7 linked regions of the Bombyx mori genome follow. The protein of the gene in region 2 binds, or shares a complex with, the protein of the main gene of each other region. Links are inferred from orthologs where the notes say so. Each region holds a gene or a part of one and is shown on either strand. Other genes may lie near its edges.

What was found.
Region 1: small nuclear ribonucleoprotein G (region 2) and armadillo repeat-containing protein 7 share a complex: the UniProt entries of both Homo sapiens proteins name them as parts of the minor spliceosome. The link is inferred for Bombyx mori from reciprocal best matches to the Homo sapiens genes SNRPG and ARMC7.
Region 3: small nuclear ribonucleoprotein G (region 2) and U6 snRNA-associated Sm-like protein LSm6 share a complex: the UniProt entries of both Homo sapiens proteins name them as parts of the U4/U6-U5 tri-snRNP complex. The link is inferred for Bombyx mori from reciprocal best matches to the Homo sapiens genes SNRPG and LSM6.
Region 4: small nuclear ribonucleoprotein G (region 2) and serine/arginine repetitive matrix protein 1 share a complex: the UniProt entries of both Homo sapiens proteins name them as parts of the minor spliceosome. The link is inferred for Bombyx mori from reciprocal best matches to the Homo sapiens genes SNRPG and SRRM1.
Region 5: small nuclear ribonucleoprotein G (region 2) and small nuclear ribonucleoprotein Sm D3 share a complex: the UniProt entries of both Homo sapiens proteins name them as parts of the U7 snRNP complex. The link is inferred for Bombyx mori from reciprocal best matches to the Homo sapiens genes SNRPG and SNRPD3.
Region 6: small nuclear ribonucleoprotein G (region 2) and U4/U6 small nuclear ribonucleoprotein Prp31 share a complex: the UniProt entries of both Homo sapiens proteins name them as parts of the U4/U6-U5 tri-snRNP complex. The link is inferred for Bombyx mori from reciprocal best matches to the Homo sapiens genes SNRPG and PRPF31.
Region 7: small nuclear ribonucleoprotein G (region 2) and U4/U6.U5 tri-snRNP-associated protein 1 share a complex: the UniProt entries of both Homo sapiens proteins name them as parts of the U4/U6-U5 tri-snRNP complex. The link is inferred for Bombyx mori from reciprocal best matches to the Homo sapiens genes SNRPG and SART1.

The regions. Positions count from the first base shown.
Region 1 is NC_085121.1:11,321,580-11,325,771, reverse strand, and holds the start of armadillo repeat-containing protein 7, read right to left. Parts: upstream 2,801-4,192; 5' UTR 2,648-2,800; coding exon 2,539-2,647; intron 1,996-2,538; coding exon 1,825-1,995; intron 398-1,824; coding exon 147-397; 3' UTR 1-146. UniProt on the Homo sapiens protein: As a component of the minor spliceosome, involved in the splicing of U12-type introns in pre-mRNAs.
Region 2 is NC_085133.1:8,585,515-8,588,178, reverse strand, and holds the end of small nuclear ribonucleoprotein G, read left to right. Parts: exon of another isoform or gene 1-96; intron 97-101; exon of another isoform or gene 102-105; 5' UTR 106-190; coding exon 191-222; intron 223-406; coding exon 407-554; intron 555-1,893; coding exon 1,894-1,944; 3' UTR 1,945-2,164; downstream 2,165-2,664. UniProt on the Homo sapiens protein: Plays a role in pre-mRNA splicing as a core component of the spliceosomal U1, U2, U4 and U5 small nuclear ribonucleoproteins (snRNPs), the building blocks of the spliceosome.
Region 3 is NC_085134.1:2,613,541-2,617,605, reverse strand, and holds the start of U6 snRNA-associated Sm-like protein LSm6, read right to left. Parts: upstream 2,801-4,065; 5' UTR 163-2,800; coding exon 72-162; intron 1-71. Other genes in the region: GATA zinc finger domain-containing protein 1, read right to left, coding at 2,947-3,113, 3,611-3,797, 4,036-4,065. UniProt on the Homo sapiens protein: Plays a role in pre-mRNA splicing as component of the U4/U6-U5 tri-snRNP complex that is involved in spliceosome assembly, and as component of the precatalytic spliceosome (spliceosome B complex).
Region 4 is NC_085128.1:8,265,078-8,268,452, forward strand, and holds part of serine/arginine repetitive matrix protein 1, read left to right. Parts: intron 1-118; coding exon 119-213; intron 214-1,070; coding exon 1,071-1,173; intron 1,174-1,499; coding exon 1,500-1,631; intron 1,632-3,248; coding exon 3,249-3,323; intron 3,324-3,375. UniProt on the Homo sapiens protein: Part of pre- and post-splicing multiprotein mRNP complexes. As a component of the minor spliceosome, involved in the splicing of U12-type introns in pre-mRNAs. Involved in numerous pre-mRNA processing events.
Region 5 is NC_085122.1:328,611-332,650, reverse strand, and holds small nuclear ribonucleoprotein Sm D3, read left to right. Parts: upstream 1-1,240; 5' UTR 1,241-1,428; coding exon 1,429-1,738; intron 1,739-2,849; coding exon 2,850-2,932; 3' UTR 2,933-3,858; downstream 3,859-4,040. UniProt on the Homo sapiens protein: Plays a role in pre-mRNA splicing as a core component of the spliceosomal U1, U2, U4 and U5 small nuclear ribonucleoproteins (snRNPs), the building blocks of the spliceosome.
Region 6 is NC_085116.1:12,759,030-12,763,278, reverse strand, and holds the end of U4/U6 small nuclear ribonucleoprotein Prp31, read left to right. Parts: intron 1-3,632; coding exon 3,633-3,743; 3' UTR 3,744-3,749; downstream 3,750-4,249. UniProt on the Homo sapiens protein: Involved in pre-mRNA splicing as component of the spliceosome. Required for the assembly of the U4/U5/U6 tri-snRNP complex, one of the building blocks of the spliceosome.
Region 7 is NC_085118.1:17,264,693-17,268,979, reverse strand, and holds the start of U4/U6.U5 tri-snRNP-associated protein 1, read right to left. Parts: upstream 2,801-4,287; 5' UTR 2,474-2,800; coding exon 2,335-2,473; intron 2,107-2,334; exon of another isoform or gene 2,055-2,106; intron 674-2,054; coding exon 547-673; intron 323-546; coding exon 171-322; intron 1-170. UniProt on the Homo sapiens protein: Plays a role in mRNA splicing as a component of the U4/U6-U5 tri-snRNP, one of the building blocks of the spliceosome. May also bind to DNA.

The sequences.
Region 1 (4,192 bases), on a different chromosome or scaffold from region 2:
ATTTTATCACCAGCTTTAAAAGCTGTGTTGCTGAAGGATGTGGTATGAATCTTGCATATTTTTTGATAATTTTTATTGTTCACAATAATATAGGGGAATCTATTCGAGAGCATCTTGTTCATTATGAAGTTCGTTTATGTAACTATTCAGGTGGTCTTACACACATTTTGTAGAAAAACTGTAGCTAAATTGACGATCCTCAAATCCTGCGTAGTTTTCAAATTTGACATCATATTTATAACGTCTTGATCAGTTATTTCAGTTTTTGTTTTCTCATTGTACATATATATCAATGTCGTTATTGTATCAGCTACAGTGTCTGTATCACTTGACTTCAATAATCGAAACAAAGGTTTTAATCCCAAGTGAGTTAAAATATAGTCTGCATTCAGTGGATCTGAAAAGTGATAATTCTTACATAAACATGTGAAATGTGAAATAGCAATATGATTTTATATAGTGTCAAATTTTTAAAGATGATTCTAGCGTTTTTCTAAATTTGGGATTTTACATTGCTTAGATGGGTGGACGAGCTCACAGCCCACCTGAAGTTAAGTGGTTGCCGGAGCTCATAGACATCTACAACGTAAATGCCACCACCCACCTTGTAATGAGTTCTAAGGTCTCAGTATAGTTACAATGGCTGCCTCACCCTTCAAACCGAAACGCATTACTGCTTCACGGCTGAAATAGGCAAGGTGGTAGTACCTACCCGTGCGGACTCACAATAGGTACCAGTAATTACGCAAATTATAATTTTGTGGGTTTCATTTTTATTAAGCGATGTTATTTCTTCACTGTGGAAGTCAATCGTCAACATTTGTTAAGTACGTATTTCATTAGAAAATTTGGTACCCGCCAGATACCCGCCAGATACCCGCCGGATTCGAACACCAATGCATCGCAAGATACGCATGCACCAAACGGAGTATCCTTTAGACCACAACGACTTCAAAATGTTTGATTCAAAATGACTGATAAATCTTTAGTATTACTAATTTCTTTTTTAGCAATAATTTATTTCGGGTCTATTGCTATTCTATTGCTAGTCTATTCCTGCGGGATCTTCCCGGGGATTGGATCCCGTCCTATTGTCAGGACGGGTACCGGCGACGGCGAGCCTGCGGCGCGCATTGTGCGGTACCGTAGGTTTCGTGGAGTCGGAGTAGTGGAGCTCGATGGGGTTTAGTCGGTAGTCGGGTCTATTGCTATTTTATTAATGCATTTGCTATTTTATTCTTTCTTAATGAAAATATTATTGAGAATCAGAATCAAATTTTTTTTACTTTTTAATTACTACTTTCCTTACTCTTCTAATTATTATCTTGAATACTGTCAGTAGTGTGGTGGCAGCATGTGTTGGTACTACTGTCAGATATAACATTAATAAACCATTTCAGTCTAATGGGCTTAAGACTTTCCAATATAATAAAGAGAGTTCCAATTTAATGGTATGTAGGGACAGTTACACAATATTGAGGGGAAAATGGCTATTTGGTATAAGCAGCATTGCACTTAAAACATTTACAAGAAAACGGTGCAAGCTCACTACATATTATTGGGCACTTTCAATTTTAATTTACTTTAAAATGCACTAAATCACATCTTATCAACACTCACAAATATTCAAATAGTTCAAGTATTTAATTAAATTTAAATAGAGCTACTTTGATAATCTTAAATAAATTATTGTACATAATAATATAAAGAATACTTTTATTGAACAGGTTCTTTCTTATAAGAGTTTTCATAAAAAAATTGACAGTTTAATTGAACTTATAATAATTTGAGAAAACTATTCATCTATTGTTATCAACAGCTTACCTAAACACAAATTGCAGACACCCGCAATGGCATACCTTATTAATCTACCAATAGTTTCATTCTTCAGCACATACAAGAATATATCTAGTACTCCAACGTCTCTAATGTATGAGTAGTTCACAGGATCATATGCAAAATTTGCCAAATTGGCTAAAACTTGCAACTTTGCTTCTGTAAGGAAAAATAACATTAACAAATTGCAGTGCCATGGAGAGAGCCGTGGAGAGACAGAGATAGAGAGAGATAGATTACTTTACTACACACCAAAACACAATCATCATTGTGTCACACAATCATCTCTTCTAAACAACCTTTTTTATCTAGAGAAATTGTGAAAAAGATCCAACAGGTATGTTATTAATTATTCAGAAACAGAGCAAACCTTCATGCACATTACTTAATAATGAAGAAAAAAAACTAATGTATGATACAATAAATATAAATATAAAATATAAATATTAAAATCACTATAATCATATCCCATAAGTCACATACACAATTTAATTTTATTAAAACGAAAAATACCATTATCCAAACGCAATAGGGCTAGCTGTACTGTGAGTACTCTTTAGCATTAAGGTCGCCCTTGTTTATGCAATAGTTTTCTAACTATCTAAGATTTTTAAAAGTAAAAACTTTAATGGCAATTGTGAAAGTTCATACGTAAATCGCATTAAAATTAATTAAATAGATATTGCATGTATATTTTATTACCATAGGAACTTGAGTGTAAATATTCGTCGACTAATAATGACAAATATGCCTCGCGATCAGTACCATCTTTTGGGGTACGTTTTTGTAAGTGTGCTCTTGAACTGAACATTAAATTATAGTAACTTAAAAGGCTATAGAAAAAATCCTACTTTGACTGGACCACTTTCATTAAAGTAAATACACATTCCTTATTTTTCCTTTGATTCAATAATTCAATTGACACGCCATGACAGTTTTCTCTGTTGTTTTTGACATTTGACAGGTGGCACAATGACATGCGGAAGGGAACATTTTATCTACCATGACATGGGGTAAATTGGGATCCTGGGGTAAATTGGGACAAACCTGCGGAAGATTCTCAAAGTACCTGTAGCACGGAATCTACCTAATTTTGTTTATGTTAATATTTGTCAATGTATAGAAGAAAAACCAAGTTAACTATAGAAGTACTAAATATGAGTTAAGTTGGTCCCAAAAATTCGTCAAATTAAATTGAAAATAGTGGTTGAAAAGTGCGTTTTAAAACAGCTTAAAGAACTTTTAAAAAAAGTAATATTATCGTTGTTTTTTCAATAAGATCACAGTTTATATAAGTTTTTAATACACCTGGAAATACCACAACAAACGGTAAGTTGCAATATTCTTATTTTAAATACAATATTTCGACAAAATAAAAAATGTATATTTTTTCTTTCCTTTTTGGGGAAAATTGGGACGTTTGTAGGGTAATTTGGAACGAGACTGGAAAAATTAGGGACGAGAAAACACAAAATTGGAACGCCAAAAGACAAAATAGGGATGGCTTGTTAGGGTTGTCACTGATATCTTATAATAGATTTTTTAGCCTATACTATCACTTAATTGCGTGATGTAAAGAAGGTTAATATGTTTATCAGTTAGTTTATGTAAGTATTATAGGTAAAAGAAAAGTATATATATAATTACTTTTTTTTCGCGACATTTACCTTGTAACATCTGCCCGGTCGTATGTTCTTTATAGCAATAAAAAAAAAAAAAAGTTAAAAGAACTCAAACGAATCAAAACTTTTGTTATTTCATAATCTATTCACGCGTCGAATCATGATTTTGTTAACATTCACAACGCACACACAAATAAAAACAGGCCTCAGATTTTAAATGTAACATTAATTAAAAATCCGAGATATCCAATTATGAGTGAGTGAATTAATTGAGTTTAGTTATTTCGCTTAGAAAGAATTTCTTTTATTTTTGTTATTATTGGCAGTAATCAGATAAAGCCGGTTTTTTATCTTATTCACCTGATATCTTACTCTTGCTCAAAGATTATTTTGAAAATGTTGATTAAATAAAATTGTATTATTGCATTTCCAGTCCTTTTGTTTTCTATTTTTTATTCTATTTTATGATTTTGTTTCAGAGTTGTGATTTTTAAGGAAATTAAATAATAATTTTCTAAAATATAACATGCACATACTTTTTTTGATCATTGTATTGTTGATTATCATTCACGTCACATCGCTTCAGAATAGAAACCAGCTTAATTTACACTATGTTGTGTATTGTGCTTAAATTATGGATTGTATTCATCATTTCGGTCCATATAAATAATTATATGGCACCTACCTATATATCGCAGTACTGCGAGTTGACAACCCTTACAAATATCCCAATT
Region 2 (2,664 bases):
CTCTGTTAAACCAATTAGCTCGGTAACACTGTGTTGTGTCACAACTTCGGATCTCATCCCATATAAAAAAAATATGTATGGGAGATTCCACCCACTGCAAAATTCGATGGGTTGGAAATTCATCTAATATACAAAAATCCACGACAATAACATTAATTCCGTATTATAATATTTTAAAAAGCACATTACAATGTCAAAAGCACATCCACCAGAATTGAAAAAGTAAGTAATATTGGAAGTTTGTTTGTTTCACTCGCAAACAAAGCTGGCGTCCTTGTTATAACCTAAAATTAAAAGAACAGCGTAAATTCTTTAAAATCCCAAATTAGTCCGTAGAAATTCGCATATTTGATGTTTATACACAAAAAAGAATATGTACTTTAAATGGTGCTTTTATATATTTCAGATTCATGGACAAAAAATTGTCAATAAAGCTGAATGCGGGTCGCGCTGTTACCGGTGTGTTGCGCGGTTTTGATCCATTCATGAATTTAGTTCTTGATGAATCAGTCGAGGAGTGTAAAGACGGTCAGCGTAACAATGTTGGGATGGTGGTTAGTATATTTTCAAGAACACTCTAAAGATAGCTTTTGTCCGCGACACCGTCCGCGTGGAATAGTTACTTAGGCATAACGCTAAATTTTACCCCCCACTTCATTTACGTAGAAAGTGAAAGTATTTTTTAAATATAGAATGTTAAGGAGCTGTTTAAATCCCCTATTTTGAAACATTCTTTATTGGTGCTCCACTTGTATTGGTTTTACCGTGATGTTATATAGCCCATAGCCTTCCTCAATAAATAGGCTATCTAACACTGAAAGAATTTTTCAAATCGGACCAGTAGCTCCTGAGATTAATGCGTTCAAACAAACAAACTCTTCAGCTTTATAATATTAATGTAGTATAGATTATAATAGGGCAAGTTTGGTTATCAGAGCCGAAAAAGGTTGCCACTATTGGTGGCGCATTAAAAAAATTTAATACTTTGCATTTTATTTTTTACAGCAGAGAACTTTCACAAACATTTGTTGAATTCTGAAAGAGATTGTCGCTTAGATGTGTGGATGAGCTCACGGCCCACCTGGTGTAGGTGGTTACTGGAGCCCAATGACATCAACAACTTAAATGCCATCACTTAACTTGAAACATGAATTCTAAGTCTCAATTTTATAGTACAACAGGTGTCCTACCCTTCATACTAAAGCGCATAATTGCTTCACGGCAGAAGTAGACTGGGATATTGTATCTACATGTGCTCGCTAAAAAGATACTCTACCACCAGTAATTATGCAAATAATAATTTTTGGGGGTTTGATTTACATTACACAATTCATTCAGGGTGGAGATCATTCATAAATACTCATTAAGTATTGTCACTACAACAATTCTTGATGTTTGAAGTGTATTTAGTATAGATGAGTCGACTATTATCAAAGGCGGCAATGTGACTTTTGGACAATTATTGGTAAATCAGAGAAACGAATTATTGACTTTGTATTCTATTGGCAGTCACAAAACTCTTCTGAACGACATCTTAGATAAATAACAGGTTAAGTATTAACCTTTATTTAATGCAGGTTTTGAACCGTATTCTTTGAAGGAGACGATTATATTCAAATAAATCTGTATTGACATATCAATAACATTTTTTTGTCCAAATGCACAGATTGCCACCTTTGATAATAGACGACTCAGATAGTGTGTTTGATATTTAAAAAATAGTTGTAAGTTACATACAACTATTTTGTTTAGCTGTAAGCATTAGTTTTGCTGTGTCCTTCACATGGTATTTTAGAAATCACTACTATTGCTCAGCAGTAGCTCGTGATTTTTTATGACAAAAAATATTTGACTGTAAAGGAACTGAATAAAACAATTTAATCTTTCTTTCAGGTAATTCGTGGTAACAGTATTATAATGCTGGAATCTTTAGACAGACTTTAGTAGACTTAGAGTGGGCAAGAAATATCACCAATGCTGTAAATGTGCTTCACTTTTCATCAATAAATAAATATAAAACTCGGATCTAAAACTTAGTTTCTACAGCAACAGCAGCAACAGTAAAAGAAAAAAAAAGGAAAACTGATAATTTTATATCTAAACTTCACTATTTAAATTTAATGTGATGTTAGGTTAAGTTAATAAATAATAATGAAACACCTCAGATTTGTGTTTGTTTTGATCTATATATTCTACTAGCGACCCGCCCTCGCTTCGCTTCGGAAACATTAAAACACACATGAAACCAAAAAAAATAAAAAAAGTAGCCTATGTTCATCAGGGACAATGTCGGCTTCTAATGGAAAAAGAATTTTTCAAATCGGTCCAGTAGTTTCGGAGCCTATTCGAAACAAAGAAACAAACAAATCTTTCCTCTTTATAATATTAGTATAGATGAGTCTAGCTCTAGATCATGCAACTACTGCTGTTGGTCATTGTAGTAATGCAATTGGCACAGCTAAGTATCAAACTGAATATACCTTTGAAGAAATAAATTCCTACTCTAGAAGTTCTGGTGGGAAAAGCAGTATTTTGGTATTGTGCAGGTTTTTCAGGTGTTCACTTGTTAAGGCAAGTAAATCGATAGATGAGTCGTCTATTATCAAAGGCGGCAATCTGTACATTTGGACAAAAAATTTTTATTGATATGTCAATACAGATTTA
Region 3 (4,065 bases), on a different chromosome or scaffold from region 2:
TATGTGGTTCTTAAAAGACGAAGTGATTGTTATTACTAACTTAATAAATAAAATTTGAAAGGAAAACAAACCTCTATAGTCAACGCCGCTGTTTAATTTAACGACAACTGGGCGACCGTGAATCTGCTGTATAAACGAGGACAAAGCTTCCTTACGACTCATTTTTTGTGTTTATTTATTATTCTGATGAAATTGAAGACACGAAATACATTAAATGAAACTTAAAAATTTTCAAATTGGTCAAAGCGGGTGTTTTGATTACTTTTGATCTTTTTTTAAAGGTTTTTATGACTTGGTATCTAATACCTTTAGGTCGTCTTATTTTAATTTTAATGAATTTTTTAAAATGAAAAATTGTATTAATATTATGAAATGAAATGAAGTTGATTACTATGAAACATGGCATGAAATGAAATGTAATGAATTGAAATGAGATGTTATGAGATGAAAAATAATCTCAGTAAAATGGTGGTCATTTACTGAGACTTTTTCAGTGGACTTTTTGGAGGATGCCGAGAAGTTTGACATTCTATTTTCAAATCCAGTTATTTGTTTGTTGATTAGTGTTTTGTTTTCACTACATTTGTAATATAATGTATCTTACATCAATATGTACACGATAGAAAAGAGTGAATATGGAGAGTTCCGTCGCCGTGGCAATGCCGCAAAACGGCTCATATTATGTTTGGTATTTAAGAAATAATGTGTATGTACGGAAAGAACACTACAAAAGAACGCACGATTGGCCTGTACGGTTCAGCACAGAAGTTTTGATTTAAAACATTTTGCAGCTTTCAACGTTAGGATCAGAAGAATATTAGTTCATTTGGGTCAAGTTGGTGGGCAAAACTTGATATGTGGCACCCCCACACGAACTGAACGATCGTCACCCCATTAGGGTATCTTGAAGCATATTGTCATCTACGATGAATTATGTTGTTTATAATCATAAGCGGTCACATCAAGCTGGTCATTTGCGATGAAAAATGGATTATTGTTTATAATCATAAGCGGTCATCAAGCGGGTTGCAAACACACCCTGATTCAGAACTAGAGGCGACTTTACCTATGGTGCGAGGTGTGTGTGAGTTGCAGATGCGCGCTGCGGTTTTAGGGTGCACCGGCCTCTGCATTCTTAATGAATCAGTTAGATTTGTTCCTTTTTTTTTTTTTTTTTTTCGGGCCGGGGGCCGAACCTCCTACGAGGTCCCCGCGCCTAGGGGGCGCGCGGGGTATGTGAGACTCAGCGATCTGCAGGTGTTGAGAGCAGATCGCGGGCCCAAGGATTTTAGGGCCCACCCACCAAACGACTCCCCTGCACTCTTACACCCGACGTCCGATCTCCGTCCGGGGTCAGAACCCGTTCAGTGTAGGGGGGTTCCCGCGGTCAACACTACAACCAGACACGCGGCGCCACCCCGAGGACGCCCGACCGACGGGTCGTCGAGGCGATAGTCGACGACCAACGACGTCGGTCTCCGCGGTACGGCGGCCCTACCAGGCCGCCCGGGTGGTGCCGCTGGTGTTCCGGGATACCCCGCTGGGCCAGAACCAGCCTGCCGGGTCGGAACGCGATACACCGCCGACCGGGTTGCTCTTCAACAGTATGTTCGGCGACGACAGCGACGACGAAAATGCGGACCGCATCGCAGTCCGCAGCCGCCGACGCGCCGTCCCGTCCTCCTGGTGCAGTTAGATTTGTTCCTAGTCCAACTTGATTGCACGCTTACTAGAGGGCGCTAGAATAATTATTGCACTCGGACATTACATGGACTAGAGGTTCAGTACAAAGGCAATGCCTCAAATGAAAATCTATCTCTAAATATGTCATGTTCACTGTTTAGTGGCTTTGTTCTGGTATAATTCATCACAGCTTCCTACCAAATAGCATCATTACTACAGATGTGTATGGTGAGGAACAGGATACAATGATGAAGAAGCTTTTGTATCTCCAGCCTGCCCTTCTTAATCGCTTGTCCACACTTCTCCTATATGACAACGCTCAACCTCATATGGTACAATCGACCGTCTTTAAGCTACAAGAGGTATGGATGGAAGTTTTTGCATCCACCATACACACAAGTTGTTGCGCCAACAGACTTACTATTATCCTTTTTCCAAAGTTTGAACAACTTCTTGGTAGGGTAAAAATGCAATACCCAAGAGGTTAACTGAAAATAATTGGGCTTCCATACGCTCCACTTCTTCAAGGGCATTGAAAGATAGGCAAAAAAATATCAGTGATCTAGGGAAACAGCATAGTTACTACTTACTACTATGAATACTTATACCAAATTTTCTGGAGGAAAAAAAATGTTGGTTGGTTTGAATGATTAAAGTGAATGATGTGTGTTATTGAATGATTGATAACTGTCCACTTCGATAAAGCGGCACGACACGAGAACCCTCTCATCGTGGCCGCTGGTAACTACATTCCCGATCCTGCGGACAGAATGGAAAGCAGTCGACGTCGCCCAAAACACGTCATCTCGGATCCTCCTGATCCACTAACGGTGCTTTTAGGTACTTAAAGCACCGGTCACCGTTCTCGTCGAACCCGTCGCTTGCGACGAAGGGCTCGACGAGTAAATTAACTCTCAGACACAGCCCACTGAGTTTCTCGCCGGATCTTCTCAGTGGGTCGCGTTTCCGATCCGGTGGTAGATTCTGCGAAGCACGGCTCTTGCTAGGGTTCGTGTTAGCAACATCGTCAGGTTTGAGCCCCGTGAGCTCACCTACTAAAGTTAGGGTTACGCTGACAGCCGCTAGGGCTATCAGCTTAGGTAGGGAAAAAAAAAAAAAAAATTATAACTGTGAATGATATCGAAATTCAAATTGTGCTCTAAATTTAAATAAATGTTAACTACGGGGTATATGGGGTAATAAAACTAAACATAAACAGTATTTTTTTGTAACAAAATGTTCACTTTGCTTAAATATAAAAGTCTACGTTCTCTCTTTAGCTTCCATCGAAGTCCATACAAAACCAGTATAATTATTCAGTTCATTATCAGTCAGTGGGTATGGACTGTTGCTCGCTTTGTAGTAATCAGATGGAGCATGCATCACAAATTCCATGTATTCCAGTTTCCGAGGCAGCTCTTCTTCAGGGCCTGAAAATTTACAGCAATATTAACCTTAACTGTCACATTTTTTATATACACTATTCTTTTTTTTGCTATATGGCAGTTGAGTTTTCGTGATGCTATTGTTGCCAGTATTGAGTTAGTAAAAATCATATTTACAAAATAAAAATAAAAAATTAAGCTGAATTTAATTAAGTTGGTTTATTTCATTATATTCATTATATTGGGATGAAATTACATGATATAGATTGAAACAAGACGAGAGGAAGTGAAATCAAACAATGCAGGCTTTTTAGAAATGCCGTGTCAAGCGACTTATTTCGTTTTCTGCTATTCACGAGCTTTGATCGAATACACATTTAATGAGTCACTATTATTACAAGTGGAAAATCTAAAGCACTAAATTTACAAAATGAAAAAAATCACCCAAAATGCCTTAGATATTGAATAAATACTTTAATCACCTACTTCTGCCTGTTGCAAATATCTGTATTTCTAATTAAAATATTATTAAAAGCTCATACCAATGATATATGTAGCAGGATCAAAACATTTCTCTGGAGGTGGGCTCGCTTTTGTAGGTAATAACCAAGTAACAGCTGCACTCTTCTCACAGTACTCATCAGTTAGGAAGCCTCTAATTTGGGCATAGTATGTGCCACCATCAATGTCAGTCATCGAAACAATATCACCAACTTGCATGTACATACCCTGAAAAAATTACCACAGACTATTCAAAGCAGAACCGAGGTAATTTTTCAAGTTTTCATGTTTACTGTGAATAATAAGTTAGGGTTTTTTAAATTAAATTAATCTCTAATCAGTTTTTAAACTATAATTAGTATGCGATATAGCCTCAAGATTATTGAAAAATAAAAAAAAAGGTATATTTCTACAGCTGTTGTATATCTAACTACAGATTTTAATTGGATTAAATAATTGAACAGACCTGATAAAATACTGAATCACTTGTAACAAC
Region 4 (3,375 bases), on a different chromosome or scaffold from region 2:
CTACATATTTGTAAAGCATCAGTGTTCAGTTTTTCGGTTTGCTTGTCGACTACTTATCATATAATTTACGCTATTTGTATATGTGTGTGTGCGCAGCTAATTATTTTTTTAATATAAGGTCAACGGACGAGAAAGAGAAAACCAATGATGAGAAACCTGCTGATAAGTCGCGCCGATCATCTAGCGAAAGACGCTCGTCTTCAGCTTCATCCCGTAAGTACATTCATTTGAACCTATTCGTTTATACATTTCTTTGATTGTATTTTACTTAGTAAGCGTAATAATTCAGGAATTATTCAAAATTACTTCAGATGTTCAGAATTCTATTTCAAATTTCAATATATTTTATCTCTTCTACTGGCAATGGTAGCTTCCACATCTCCTATGACATACATTTCTTATACACTTGTTTTTCAGAGATTAATTAATTTTATTTCATTAAATCTGTGTAATAAGTAAAAGCCAAAAACTAAAGCGATTATTTATAACAAATAAAGCGGTTATTCGATGATATAATGGTTATAGCATCAATACCGCTCTTCTCATAATTCCCGACTTAAAAAAAAGTGATACGCTAGGTGACGTCGTGTTTCTGCTGCAAAGCAAAACGGAATGTAAGCGGTCGGAAAATTTAGTGGCAGGGCAGCGCTTGTGTTGTCATAAACTTATTTTCTGTCCGAAGGTGAGGCCTCGGCCGAATGAACTAAACCTGAACTAAACATACCACAGATGTGTACAGGCTCCAATGGCAGCTTAACTTAGCCTTCTGGGTTTTTTTTAATTGGTTTATAATTGGAGATGGATTAATTTAATTTAATTTAAAGGATTGTATTTTTTTTAAACTCAATGCTTAAGATAGGTTATTATTAATTTATTTTAAAACAATGAAGTCAATGATTTTCTTTTTAAATTTAACGAACGCAATCGTGATTTGCGCCTAATGTTGTTAAACTGAAATTAAAAAGGTCAAATTTGATCGATTTTTTTGCGGTAATTAATAAATTTCAGAAAATTTAAATTATTCCATTTGGCTTACAGTAAAATAATGAGTACACTTTTATGATTATTAGGTGGCAGTGTGAAGAAGAGATCGTCACATAAAAAACGACAATACCGTTCGAATCGTGATTCTTCTACAAGTGTTAGCCCTAGGCGCAGCTCCCGAAGAGAAAGGTAACATTATTCACTAATGTAACTAAATCTAATTAAAATCTAACTAAATGTAACACCGTATTTATGTGATGTATTCAATAGCAGCCACTTATGCAAAGGTTTACCAACAGACAACTTATATACATTACACCAAACTAAAATTAAACTAAGCCTGATTATTTAATATAAAATACTTTGATGTTAAGGAATGGACTTGAAAGAAATTATTCTACTATTTGAATAAACATTTTTTTTTTCTATTTACACATGTATTGTCTATCTATGAAAATTTCGTACCTGGGCTTTAAAATCGATTCATAAGTATTGAACTTTAATTTTTTTTGTAGGAGTAAATCTCGCCGTAGGAGCAGCCGACGTAGGTCGTTAGATCGTCGTGAGAGGGAAAGAGAACGGGAGAGAGAAAGAGAACGCGAACGTGAAAGAGAGCGACGACGCCGTGAACGAGAACGGCGTGAGAGGTATAGATTTTTTTATAATTACTAGTGTTTATTTAATTATCTGAAATCTACAATAATTACAACATCTGAAGATTTAGATTTAGAAGAAATATATTTGTATATATATTTTACTTTTGTTACTGAATTTTTGAAAAACAAGAATCTACGTTTTTCCATTTTCTTATTGATAACAAATATCTTAAGAAAAAAAATTACCATATGATGGACAATATATTCTAATATTTAAATAAATGAAACAATGTAAACAGTTTTCAATATTATTATTATTTGTATTTTGTTTATATTTATTTATTTAGTATTTTTTTATAAAATTTCTTATTAATTAATAAGATAACAATCTTTTATGGAGTTCTTGTTGGGTCTTTATTTTATACCCGATGATACTACATTTCGATTAATGCCATAATTGCCACATAGAACCTTTATATCATGACTACTTAGATTTACATACTTTTAGCCCAACTTCATGAAACGTTTTACGAATGGTACAAGCCCATATTAGTCTCCTAATTTCTAGTGAAAACTAGGCAGTGGGCTGTGGAGAAGTTGTTGTTCAATTTTAACGACCCTATTAGTAATCGACGGTCCACACATTTTGTTGCGTTTGTTCCTGCACCTGTGATCTGTTATCAAACAATCGTTCAATAATGTAATACTCAGATTGTGAAAATTTCACGAAACTAGAGATTTCTACTGGTACCTCGCATGCTAAAGCTGCAACTGCACACTTAGTTCTAGTCTAAATTCGTTTATTTTAGGCATTTTACAATTATCATAAGAAATAAATATGAAAGAGAACAACAAAATCAGTCAACTACCAAACCATCCATCACCAAACAAAATAATAGGGTATTATTTATTCTGTTTTTTTTAAGGGATTTTATGACCTAAGACTGATCTAAGACTTTTATGTCTTATTTTAATATATGTTATTTTTATGAAAAATGATAATATGGAGTGTAATGAAATGAATATGATTAATTTGAGACATTAATCAGCTGAGATGAAATAAAATGAGATGATATGGGATGAATTATAATCTCAGTAAAGTGGTGGTCATTTATTGAGATTTTTTCAGTAGACTTTTTGGGAGGATCCCGAGAAGTTACGTCCAGCGGCTTTGTTTCATTTTCCCACATTTTTGCACTTTCAAAGATATTAAACAGTTAATAAACCACTGTTATTACACATTTAAACCTGAAGAAACACTAAATAGACAAAATAGAACAAATCACAAAACTTAACTCCTCGCATATCCGCCAAAAAGTATTTATTATACTGATTAAATACAACCAAAGGTTGCAAATACAGAATATGTTTTGCTGAAAATTCAGGATATATAAACTAATATTAAGTAATATCTGTGAGGATACAATTGCTTTGATTAAATGATGAATTTTCATTTGAAATATTTTCTGTATAGGTAGTTAGTAATTGCTTATTGATTAGGGCAGAATAAATTACATCGTTTTAGTTATAAATGCAGCTGTTTATACTTATTTAAAAATTCAATAGTTTTTACAATAAAAGATTCATTCATAATACATTGTTTTTTTTATGTTTGTGATAAAATTGCACCTAAAGGGTTTTTATATAATGATTTCTAAATTAATGTAGGTCGAGAGAACGTCGACGATCGCTTGAAAGACGCAGACGGTCGCGTTCACGCTCTCGACGACGTTCAAGAGACAGGTATAATTTACTTTGAATATGTTTTCATCACAAGCATTCGCTTTAAAATTGA
Region 5 (4,040 bases), on a different chromosome or scaffold from region 2:
CCCGTGAAGGTTGGGACAGTAGTTCTTATTCATCAAGATGACATTCCACCGCTCCGCTGGCCACTTGGAGTTATACAAGAGGTGTATCCAGGTGCCGATAACATTATACGCGTTGCTTTGGTAAAAACGAAATCTGGATTTCTTAAACGTCCAGTTGTAAAATTATATCCGCTACCGCTAGAATAAATTAGAGTACCGCATGTCATCAACCGCTTCAACTCTACTCGTAAACATTCATGATGGCTTATTATTAATTAAAATTTGTTTCTTTTCAAATAACTTCCCGCTATTTAAGCTTTATGCTTCCTATCTTAGTATCTTTATATATTTGTTGAAAGTCCTGCGAACTTTCAAGGCGGGCAGGATGGTCACGCGGATTTAGTAATGGGATGCTAATGAATTATTGGGATGGCGCCACCTTTGGAGTTTGTCAGTAACTAATTACCGCGACTACCCAAAGCGTGGTTCTACCCGATCGATCACGCTTTACCGCTAGCTGCCTAGATGGCGGCACTTGTATATTGTGTGGTGCTTGAGCTTACGAAAAGCTACGTGAGCTTCGTCACCCCCTCCCGCCGCCCGCGTGCTTCCATCGCCGACGCCCGCACGACAGTCACTGGCAAGATCTACAGGTGAGTGCAAGTTCTTTTAATTTATTGCCATTTTATTGCTGCTTCGTGTAATCATTCGCCCGCCCGCTCGCTTATGTGTATTTAATTTATATCTTTAGTTTGATTACTAGCTTTTGTTTACCGCTATATAGTTTTACCGCTCCGCTAATTATAAGTGACAAACATTTGTCACATACCGCTTAGGACGGCTATTTACACGCCTTTCTACAACCCCGCTTTATATGCTCCCGCCGCAGGAGGGCTATTTACACGCCCCCTTGCTACCCCAAGCATAAAGCCTAAGCACCTAGCTTTTTTTACAAATGAAACTAGGTCTATTAGGCTATGTACAGTGAAATGTAATTTATTTAGAAAAATGGTTGGAATTAACTAAGATTACATTTAACTTTTTGCAAAATCTCAATAGTTATACCCTGCGATGCTCTTGCATTTTCAAACCGAAAGGTAGTACTACTTTACGGCAGGAATAGGTAGGGTAGTGTTGTCTGCCTCTGTGGACTCGCAGACATCCTACCATTCCTACCACCAGTAAAGTTGATTTTCACAATGCTAAGGGAATTAAAAATCATAATGGATTTTTGGTAATATGGGTTATGTTGTCTTTGTCTGTCAATGAATGAATAAAAATGTCTATTGTCTATGCACGGAACTCGCCGCCATATTACATTAGATGTCTATGGATTTGAAGCGTCTAATTTTTTTGAAATATTCTTTCCCATTTTTATCGTAAATAATCTAAGAAATAATACTGAATTATTGTCCTTTATCGTACGTTTTTCTTAACTAAAACGTAAACATGTCTATCGGTGTGCCTATTAAAGTACTTCACGAGGCGGAAGGTCATGTAGTGACTTGTGAAACAAATACCGGTGAAGTTTATAGAGGGAAATTAATTGAAGCTGAGGATAATATGAATTGCCAAATGACTCTCGTAACAGTCACATACAGAGATGGCCGAGTTGCACAGCTCGAGAATGTGTACATCCGTGGTTCCAAGATCAGATTTTTAATATTACCGGACATGTTGAAGAACGCGCCAATGTTCAAAAGACAAGGGAATAAACCTACTGCAGGACGAGGGAAGAGTGCGATACTGCGAGCCCAAGGTATTGAACAATATAAAAATAGTGTGTATGTGATTTGTTTATCGAGCTAGGTATCCTAAATGTTCTCTCGCATCACATACGTAGTGATTGTGTTCATTATCAACAAGACAACATACGAGTGTTAATATATGAATGAGTGCTGTCTGACTTGCAGTCTAATTACATCTAGCACTGAAATTGTGAATATGCATTGTTCTTAATTTCGTTTAATTCAAAGACTTAAAAAAGAATAAACATCTTTAGCTTAGAACAACCCATTTCTTTAGGCTTGTTATAAATTAGACTTGAGTGAAGTCTATTTAACAATTACTGCACTATATAACCAAATTATTAAACGAAAATTTCTAAGTAGAAAACGTATGCAAGTATGAAAGATAAGCACATTTAATTACAATCAATAAATAGCCTTCATTAAAATTAGTACAAATGCATTGAATACATAGTGATCAATTGGGTCAAATGAGCAAAAAATAGGTAGTTTGAAGCTTTGATTTTTTAAATGTCTTGTTTGTTTATATCCTGTATAGATATTTTTTGTCACAGTTTTTTAATAGTAATTGAGAATATTTTACAATTTTTCATTCTTGAGTGCTTATATAGACATACAATGTCAAATTTGCAATTTTAAGTTTTGTAATATCAAATCAGTATTTTGTTCCAATGTTAATTGTTTCTAATCATTCAACTATATGTTATTGACAATTTTACTTTGGGTGGTTAAAGAAAATATGTGAATGATGAGACCATGTCAAGTACCTAATGCACACAATCTCACACATCTAAAGTAAAACCTATTTTACATAATGTTATGCAAACTAATAACTGTATCTATTACATTTGTGAAAACCCATTCTTGTGTATTTAAATAATTACGGCAAATTTCTGTTGCTAAACAGGAATGTGAATTGATTTGACGGGCTGGACAGTAACTACAATACATTTGAGCGATCAAATATATGTATCTCTTCATACTCATCTCAAGTATCATGCCAACCAGCATCCTTATTTTGATGTTTGTGGGCCACAGTAAATCATTAATCAAGTGGGTTGTAAGCTTACTCACACATCTAGAGGAATCAAGAAGTAAAATACAAATCTTTGAAATTTTCAGCTGCTGGTCGAGGACGAGCAGGTGGAAGAGGTGGGGGCCACCGTGGAGGCTGGCAAGGTGGGTCAGGACCATCTCGACGCTAGCGTTAAGATATTTTTTAGATAGCTTAAGTTGTACTTGTCTTATATTTCAATTGTCAAGGAATTATTTCATTATCATTCTTATATATTGATATATCTAAGTGAGAAAAATACAAATTTTGGAAATAGAACAACTGTTTGTTCAAAGATTATTATTATGTTCTCAAATGTAACAATAAGGTCCTGTTCCAGATTTTCTGTTTTTTTATTTTGGTCACCCTTCAATCTGCTTTACACATCTTAGGTCTCATGGACCATTTGATCAAATAGACACTACACACTGATGCTACCCTATGGTGACTTATTGTGACTCCCAATCAATACAATGTTTAATCTCTATGTTCTATCCTTATATCAGTCCCAATAATCTAGAAATCTTGTCCATATGATGGGTAATAGTTCAATCTTGTTTTGGCTTGAGGAAATATCTATGTGTGGTTTATGCGGGGGTGACTATTGTAATTAAATATAAAAAGTTATTATAAACTGCCTTGTACAAACCAAACTTAACCAATGGCCGAGTTTTGACAATGTTTTATCCATATAATTTTGAATTTTTTTGCACTGTAACTGGAGCCTATAGACTTTATGAAGGCCTGCACCTACCATGAGGTTTGAGATCAAAGTCCCAGTTGTACTGTTTGGGATAAATGCTGTCTTAATGGGCAAATTGGAATGCTTCGCAGCATAAAACCTGCAACAATCATGCATGTTTGTTAAATGTGTGTAACTCGGCATCTTATCCTTTAGGACACGACAACCTCTTATGCAAAATATTTTTAATTTGAATGTTTTATGTTCGAATTTAGATTAGTTACAAACAGTGTAACAAGTTTACTGAGACTGTCAGCAGATATGTGATAGGATGTGTCGTTGTGGGTGTGAATATCAAAAGATTGAAAACAAATAAAAAACAATTTGGATAATAACTAGTGTTTTTATTTATGAGACACGCAGTGTCAACTAACTATAATTATTATTAGTCAAATTCCACTGGCCACTACTGCTTCTGAGATAGTATAATAATAGAAGTCATGACGGCTTCACTGTACAGACGCACAGGACAGTGGTGTCTAACCATACAAGCTCACACTGCACATCAGCACCTCAG
Region 6 (4,249 bases), on a different chromosome or scaffold from region 2:
AAACATAGACAGCGAAACTGAAGGTATTCTAGATATGCTGATGTATTTACATAACATAATAGATGTAGGTACGGCGTTGGCGTTATTGCGAGTGCTATACATTATTACGATTGGCACGCCCTCCTCTCGACCGATGTTAACCGCCACATCTGTTCTTCAAGTCAGTGTCTCTCAAATTTTATTTATTTATTGTATAAATTTAACACTTTTAAAGATATTCATGTATCTACCTACGGGTCGATGTCGTTTACTAGTTTAAAAATTAAACCGATGTCTAGCATCGAAGAACGGAGACACGAGTTATAATTAATTTTATTTGTTCCAGTGTCCATTTGCTCGACATCTCTGATCATCTGTTTAATGTTTATTTTAATAGTATTCAGTTTAGTGTTTATTTTAATAGCCCTTAAATAACATGAATGAATATTAATATGGACGTTTCAATGGCACGGATAACACAGAACCTCCAAATGATCATCGTTATTACTATTACCCAATTACGTTTAAAGTGTTTCAAATAATCTACTCGCATTAAATATTAAAATTAATCGTAAAATCGGATCTTCTTATTCTTTTTTGCCTTTCGCGGTTGAAACGATGGGCCCTTGGGGCCCTGAAGCAAAGAAATTTTTGTCAGAAATCTCCAAACGCTTGAAGGAGGCTACACGTGATGCTAAGGCTAGCTGATATTTTGCACAGAGAGTGAGTCTGGCTGTCCAACAAGGTAACGTAGCCAGTATCTTGGGAACTGTGCCTCCTTCAAGCGCATTGGAAGATTTGTTCTACTGTGTGAGTTAATTTAAAAATTAAAGATAAACATTAGACAATTTTTTTTTTATCATAATTACTATTTATCGTAAAATAACTAACATTCATTTATAGTAGATATTTCTTTTTTCATTCAATTGACATGTTTATTAAGCTAACATAGTTTCTAAGGAAATGTTTAGGAAGCTTCGCCGTAACCGATTCGAATCAGCAAAACATTATGCCCTCTCGTCTCTCTTACAGCGATGCTCTTAAGATATCCTTTTATAGGGTTATTGAAGAGAAAACTTTGAAGTTTGATCTGTAAACTAAACTAAACAATGATTGCTCTTGTACGCATATCTAGATATTTATTATTACCTCGATGAGCAGATAAGCTCTCTCAGCCCACTCGGTATTAAATGGCACAGCTCATAGGCATCAAAATGTCATTACCCCCCTTGACATACTGTCGAAGTATCAATTTTATTGCATAACGGCATTGGCAAAGTACAAACTGAAACGCATGATGTTTTGGTGGTAGGTACCCGTAGAGAGTACACCCTGCCCACTAGTAATTATGCAAATTTTCCTGCGATTCATGTTATCTATACTAATATATAATAAAACTGAACCATGCATCCGATTGACTTGAAACTTGGTATCCATGTAGAAAATACATGTACTTAATGGATAGGCTAATATTTATATGAGTGTTGGACTCCCTAGTGACTCCTCCGTTAGTGATGAGAATCTTTGTGGGGTTGAGAAATAATAACGTTAATTTTAAATGCCCAGCGAAACAGGCGGGTACAGCTAGTGTGATATATAATGAGCATATTTCTTTAAAAAATCCTACCCATCTGCAGGATTTGTGCCCCGGCAAAGTCGCATCTCGTGGCTATTCTTCTTCTAGCTTCTATAACGTCAGAAACTGTTTTATTGATTATAATGATTACATACTGTACACTGTCCATATTGTACAATTATCATAATAAGAAAATGAAGCAACATGATATAGAGGAAAACATTGAATAGATTGTGCTGTAATCAGTGGTAATTGCAGTACTTGTCACAGCTTGTGCCGATATATACGAGTAGTACTATTCATGAGTTTCGTCGTTGATTACGCGTAATCTCAAGCTTTTCTGATTGCATAAAAAATTGGTTGTCTGTAAAGTCGGTTTACGGACGATAGTTTTACGTGATAACGTCATAAAGAAACATTGCATGAATTTTATGAATTTAATTGAACGTTTATAGGTAACTGAATTATTATTATTTTGTATAATACAAAAAGGTATTATTTTCGATTATTTTTATTTTCGTTAAATTAACGCTTGGGCCGATCGTGCGTCTCTATCGCTTGTTCCGCGCTCTCGCTTGCACGCTCAGTCTCAAGCGGAACGTGACACTTTTTCGAGCGTGCAGCCGGTGTTCATCGATTTATAAGATGTTATTATCGTGTCAAAAACGTACAGAAGTATGTTGTATATTTGATTGAGCCTAGTACAAAACAAAACATTAATTGTATAAGTTTTGAAGGCAAAAGTAGACGATTGGTGCGGGTTAATAAGCGATCTGACAAATTTAATATAAAAATAAAATCCGTTTTATGAATTTGTAAACTTTTGTAAATACAAATACACGAATGTTGGTCTCAGAGTTGTGTAGTTGTGTAATTGCTTCTTTTTTTTATACGAACCTATTTTTTAGTTGAAATCGTCAACGAAGTTTATAGTACTTTAGTTTCTTAAACTGTCCATGCCTGATTCGTGTGGATGAACCCTTTGAATGGCGATAAAATCGATGACGTTATAGAAACAAAATATAATAAAAGGATTTAAAAAACCAAACCTCAACAAAATGATATGCACCACGAACAGGCAATTTACCGGACAAACCAAGTCATTACTTACTTACTTTGTACTATATATTCTTGCCCACTGAGTTTCTCACCGGATCTTCTCAGTGGGTCGCGTGTTCCGATCCGGTGGTAGATTCAGCCAAGCACTGCTCTTACTAGGGCCTGTGTTAGCAACACCTCCTGGTTTGAACTCCGAGAGCTCACGTACACGCTAGGGTAACGCTGATTGATATAGCCTCAATGCTATCAGCATAGGTAGGGAGAAAAAATGTAGGCAGTTCTAATATTGGGCAGTCGAATTCTTATTATAACTATATAAATTGATATACCACGAAAGCTAAAGTACATATTATTATGCATATGGTCACTGGTGGTAGGACCTCTTGGGAGTCCGCACGGGTAGGTACCACCACCCCGCCTATTTCCGCCGTGAAGCAGTAATGCGTTTCGGTTCGAAGGGTGGGGTAGCCGTTGTAACTATACTGAGACCTTAGAACTTATATCTCATATATCTATGTCTAGGAATGAGATCTAGCTGTCAAACGTGGTAAGAAGTTTTATATAAACCTGCTTCTTTCTAACGCGAAGCAATCGGGTGTTCCAATTTGCTGGGATAACCATTATTATAAGTAGAATACCGATTAATATATTCCAATTCAGAGCTCCAACTCTTTCTTTTTCGATTTCGTATTTTTAGTGCGGGCAGTGGCATTCTCGCTGTGGATTCTTAAGGGCTTCGGTAACCTAGTGACATAGGTTGGTCGTGAATTTATCGAACATTAACACACATTCCTGACCTATTGATCATGATCGTGTAGTAAAGAAAATCATATTGACATGAATGATTAACTTCCAGTGTTATTTATTGTCTTACGGATAATTCCAATTAGCATTACGTTTTACGTTCATTGCTTTTAAAGACATTTATCTTCAATGTACTTACTTGGTCGCAATTCGACCCGAAAAACAATATTTAAAGTAAAAATGAAATAATCACTATAGGTATAATTGTTCACAGGGTTTGGAAATCGTCAATCCTCAAGCCGCAGAAACTAGGACCAACGAAGGCAATGCCAAGTATTTCTCTAATACATCCGGGTTCTTATCTGTGGGAAAGAAATCTGATTAAATTAAATATTTTGCGTTTTTTTTTTCCACTTTTTTTCCTTCCGCTGAAACTCTCCTGATACGGCGTTTGAAGAACAAAGAAATATATTATTATGTCATAACGCTCGAGAAATACTGTGGAGGGGAATTCATTTTAAAGTTCAGTTCATATCGTGCCGTGCTACATATCATTGGAAACGCTCTGTGGATGAACGCTGCATTGCCAACTAGAATGGATGAATTCTGCTCCGGTAGCTGGAATTACCGTGATAAAAAGGAGATGATGAGATCATCTCGAATAAGTCTTCAGAGCCATCCTCAGAGAACATAATATTATTATGCTACAAAATACAGAGGTTTTAAGACACTAAGTCACGTTCTACACATTTCTATGCATAAAATTTTCGGATTTTGTTAATTTACACCATTTCAAGGTTTACATGCAAGAATGTTCTTTATAATAATAAAATAAATATGAACATTGTTCAAAAAGCCGAATTTAATAGCATTCGCAATTTCCACGATTTA
Region 7 (4,287 bases), on a different chromosome or scaffold from region 2:
AAAACATATAAAATGGCAAAAAATTTGAATTTTATTTTGTTTATTTATTGTTGGCAAAGATAACACATCAAATTCGTTATGCGTGATATAGTCTGTACATTAAATAAAATACAATATATTAACACAATAAAAAAAAAACATTACAAAAGCGATAAAACTACATTACAAACCAGCAGGTTTCTCATTGACTTCAAGTGGTTTAAGTCCAAGTTTAGCTCGTAGACGATTGGTCTCTTCAATGGACAAGCTCTCTTGTGCTCCACCACTCTGTGTTTGTACTGGAGACTTGGTTTTCTCACGTTCATACTCAACACTCTTGTCCCTATAAAAAGTAATAAAAATAGTTCGTAATGTAATTTCAAGATAGATAAGCTAACAAACCTACCCAGTGGAATTATAATTATAATAATACTTATGTTACCCATCAAATTGTGTATGATTAGATAGATACAGAAAAGAAGATGTTACTAATCATTGCAAGGTCATAAATAAGTACAAGAGTTCAAGAAGTAGTCACTTCAGTCAATGTTCAGTTTAGTTTATTACCCTTCAGATTCATTTTTCTCTGGCCGATGCAAAGCACGCATGCGGCGATCCCGATCTTCACTGTCTCCTCGAGAATGGTTAGTCTCGTCATCCTTCAGCTGATGCGAGTCGACAGGCACTTCTTGAACTGTAACAAACAGATATCTGGTGTTTAATCCTAATTTATAAATCTCAATTTCTTATTGTGGACAGATTATAATGTAACAACATTCGTTTTGTATTATTTCAGCGTAAAAATCATTTCGTGGTGGCAGATATAAGTGTATACAAACAGATAAAAGTCTGTTAATTATATTGTTTTGTATCTATGTATGTATGTATGTTTTTTATTTATTTATCTATGTTTTGTGTATAATATATATATATATATATATATACTATCTGTAGACTATACTATACTATGTGTATACTATATTGTATTAATTCTACTGTGTTGAAGTAAAACTTTACTTCTAATGTTGTAGCTGTAATCAATGTTCAGCTGATTTTAAACACATTAGTGATGTGTAGGCTGGCTGGTTTGCCTTTATAAATTAATGCAACCTTTTGATTAAGAAGTAAAGAGGATGTGAATTTGAGTTGGTCATAACAAATAGAAAAAAGAAACAAACATAGATATAGCGACAGTAAAAATAAACAATAAAACTGCAGTATGAAGTACTAAGCACAGAACAGAATCAAAAATTCTATTCCAATGAATACTGCAGGACAATAAGGACAATTCCTAGCTAAAAATAATTACTTGTTGTTTTAGTGAATTTCTATTTCAACAACCCACAAACCAAGAAGAAAGCCTGCAACCAGACTCAGTGTAAAAGAGAATGTGGATTTCACAGGTCACACAATCTTTAATTAAATACACTACTTACAGAGAATAAAAATATAACATTTTAATGGTTTTTTTAGTGGCACCATGTTCATTCACTGGGTTCATCATTTATTTTTGTTTTAAAGAATAGTCCTTGCAAAACTTAATTAGTAGTAAAGTACAATGGCCATTTTCCTACATTTCAGTTGATAGTTGTAATGTTGTATTTGGACAGACAAGTTTAGCTGATTTGATATGATTTACTACAGTCCGCAGGTGCCACAGTGTAACTGCGACATAAGACATGATGTTGAATCTTAGCTGTGCTGTGATAAAAGCATACTTCAAAGCTAGACTAGGTTTTTTTTTTAAATTGTTGTTATTGTTAATATTAAGTATGTGCTGGTGGTTGTCATTGTTTTCAAAGATTTCCGATAAATGTTTGTCTTATTTTACAGGCTCTTTTATTGTTTGTTTCTAGAGGAAGTTTCATTTAGAATGAATTGATACACATTTTGTGATTTATGGCACTATAGAATAAATAATTATACGTAGAAGTATGATATTGGTACTTTACAACATAATTATTGGTGATAAATTGTTAGTACATTGTAGTTCATTTTGTTTCCTGTATTATTTTCTGCAGCAAAAACAACTTTACTCAAATCAGGAACCTTCCATCGTTTTATTAAATACCTACCTCTTAATGACGGAGCGAGGGACGCGGTGGCTGAGCTCCAGTGCCACCGGGTCTGAAATAACGAGCAGACAGTGTGCCATTATCTTGTCATAATTAATAACAGCCAGTTCTGTTGATGACCTATGCAATTCATTATTTAAATCAAACAAACGGTTTTATTTGGATATACAAGTTAGGATGTGAATCCGTATTTCATAGTTTTGAAACGTGGTTTTTTGGCACATAAGATCATCATCAAAGGCTGGCGTTTGTTATCTTTATCGAAAGTGTTGTTACTGACCGTCAGGGGAGCGCTCTCGCTTGCGATCTTTATGTTTCCTATGCCTTTTTCGTTCACGTTCTTCACCTTCGAGTGGCGAACGGGACCTACTCTTATGCTTCTTTTTCTTTGCTTCTTTCTTATGCTTTTTTGAACCCATTCTTGTTTCTTAAATAGTCTCTTATAACAAAATTATGGGTACAAAATAAAAACTATAAAATATTAAAAAATCGTATTCTCGACAAGTGTTCTGTTTGTTTCAATAATCACAGACAATTATTATTAAAGATACTACGTAGTGAAATAGTGCGCCATTTTATTTTGCAAAATATAGTCTGGATATATTTGTGGTCCTATTTCTATTCGTGTCTTACAAATGAACAAACTTATAAAGCTATTTCTATTATGCAGTTAAACACGTTTCATAGGGAACAAAAAACAGACCTGGAACAAGAAATGCCAGTGACAGCATTGACAGATATATAGTAGTAGTTTTACTTTTTCAACTGGAAAGGCAAAGATGTCATACCATACCGCCTGATCTTTTATAAATTTATTTAATGTTTTATAAGAAAAATGATAGAAGTGAAATGAAATGAAGTTGATTAATATGAAACATGGCATGAAATGAAATGAGATAAGATGAGATGATATGGGATGAAATATAATCTCAGTGAAATGGTGGTCATTTACTAAGACTTTTTCAGTAGACTTTTTGGAGGATCCCGAGAAGTTACGTCCAGCGGCTTTGTTTTATTTTCTTACATTTGTGCATTTTCACAAATACTAAACAGTAAATAAACCACCGTTATTACGCATTTAAACCTGAAGAAACACTAAATAGACAAAATTAAACAAATCACATAACTTCACTCCTCGCGCTCCCGCCAATAACCAGATATTTGTAATAAACTAAACATTTCAAAAACAGATAGATACAATAGGTACCGAATTTGTGGTAGCATTAATTTAGTTTTTCCAATTATTTTTAGTATAAGGCTTGAATTAAGCCTTCTCGGAGTTTAAAACCTGTGAAGCTACCGACCAAATTAAGTTAATTACATTAAGTTGTTACTGGAGCCGATAGACATGAACCATGTAAAAAATGAGTTCTAATTCCCAGTGTTCACAGTATAATGAATGAACGATGAGAAACGCTTATCTGCTTCACAGCAGAAATGGGCAGGGCGGTGGTAAATGTGGCGGTGGCGGATGAAATTGCTCAGTAGGCCGACGGTCCTGTTGCTATTATTCGGAACTTGTATTTAGGAAAGCTTGTCTTGAAAATGTTAGTGAGATACAGGTATCTCTCAATTCAGTTTTTATAAGCATTAGGTACCTGTTTACTTAAGAAGGTTTAGTATATAGAAGATTACAAGTCCTTTTTCCTAATACAATACCCTATTTTAGACAGCTTTGTGGCTTCGAGACCATCGGTTGTGTCGTATGAGGTCGAGCGTTGTCGTGGAGGAGCAGCGGGGACGTGCGATTGACAGAGTCTGGCCGGGGATTTGCGAGCTTCTTTTTTTTATTATTGCTTAGATGTGTGGACGAGCTCACAACCCACCTGGTGTTAAGTGGTTACTGGAGCCCATAGACATCCACAACGTAAATGCGCCACCAACCTTGAGAATAAGTTCCCCTACCCTTCAAACCGAAACGCATTACTGCTTCACGGCAGAAATAGGCAGAGTGGTGGTACCCACCCGCACGGACTCACAAGAGGTCCTACCACCAGTAATTACGCAAATTATAGTTTCATTTTTTATTACACGATGTTATTCCTTCACCGTGGAAGTTAATCGTGAACATTTGTTGAGTACGTATTTCATTAGAAAAATTGGTACCCGCCTGAGATTCGAACACCGGTGCATCGCTCAACACAAATGCATCGGACGTCTTATCCGTTAGGCCACGACGACTTCTACTTGGGCTTCTCCACCATTATGTCCAGCTCACAGTGCACATTAATAG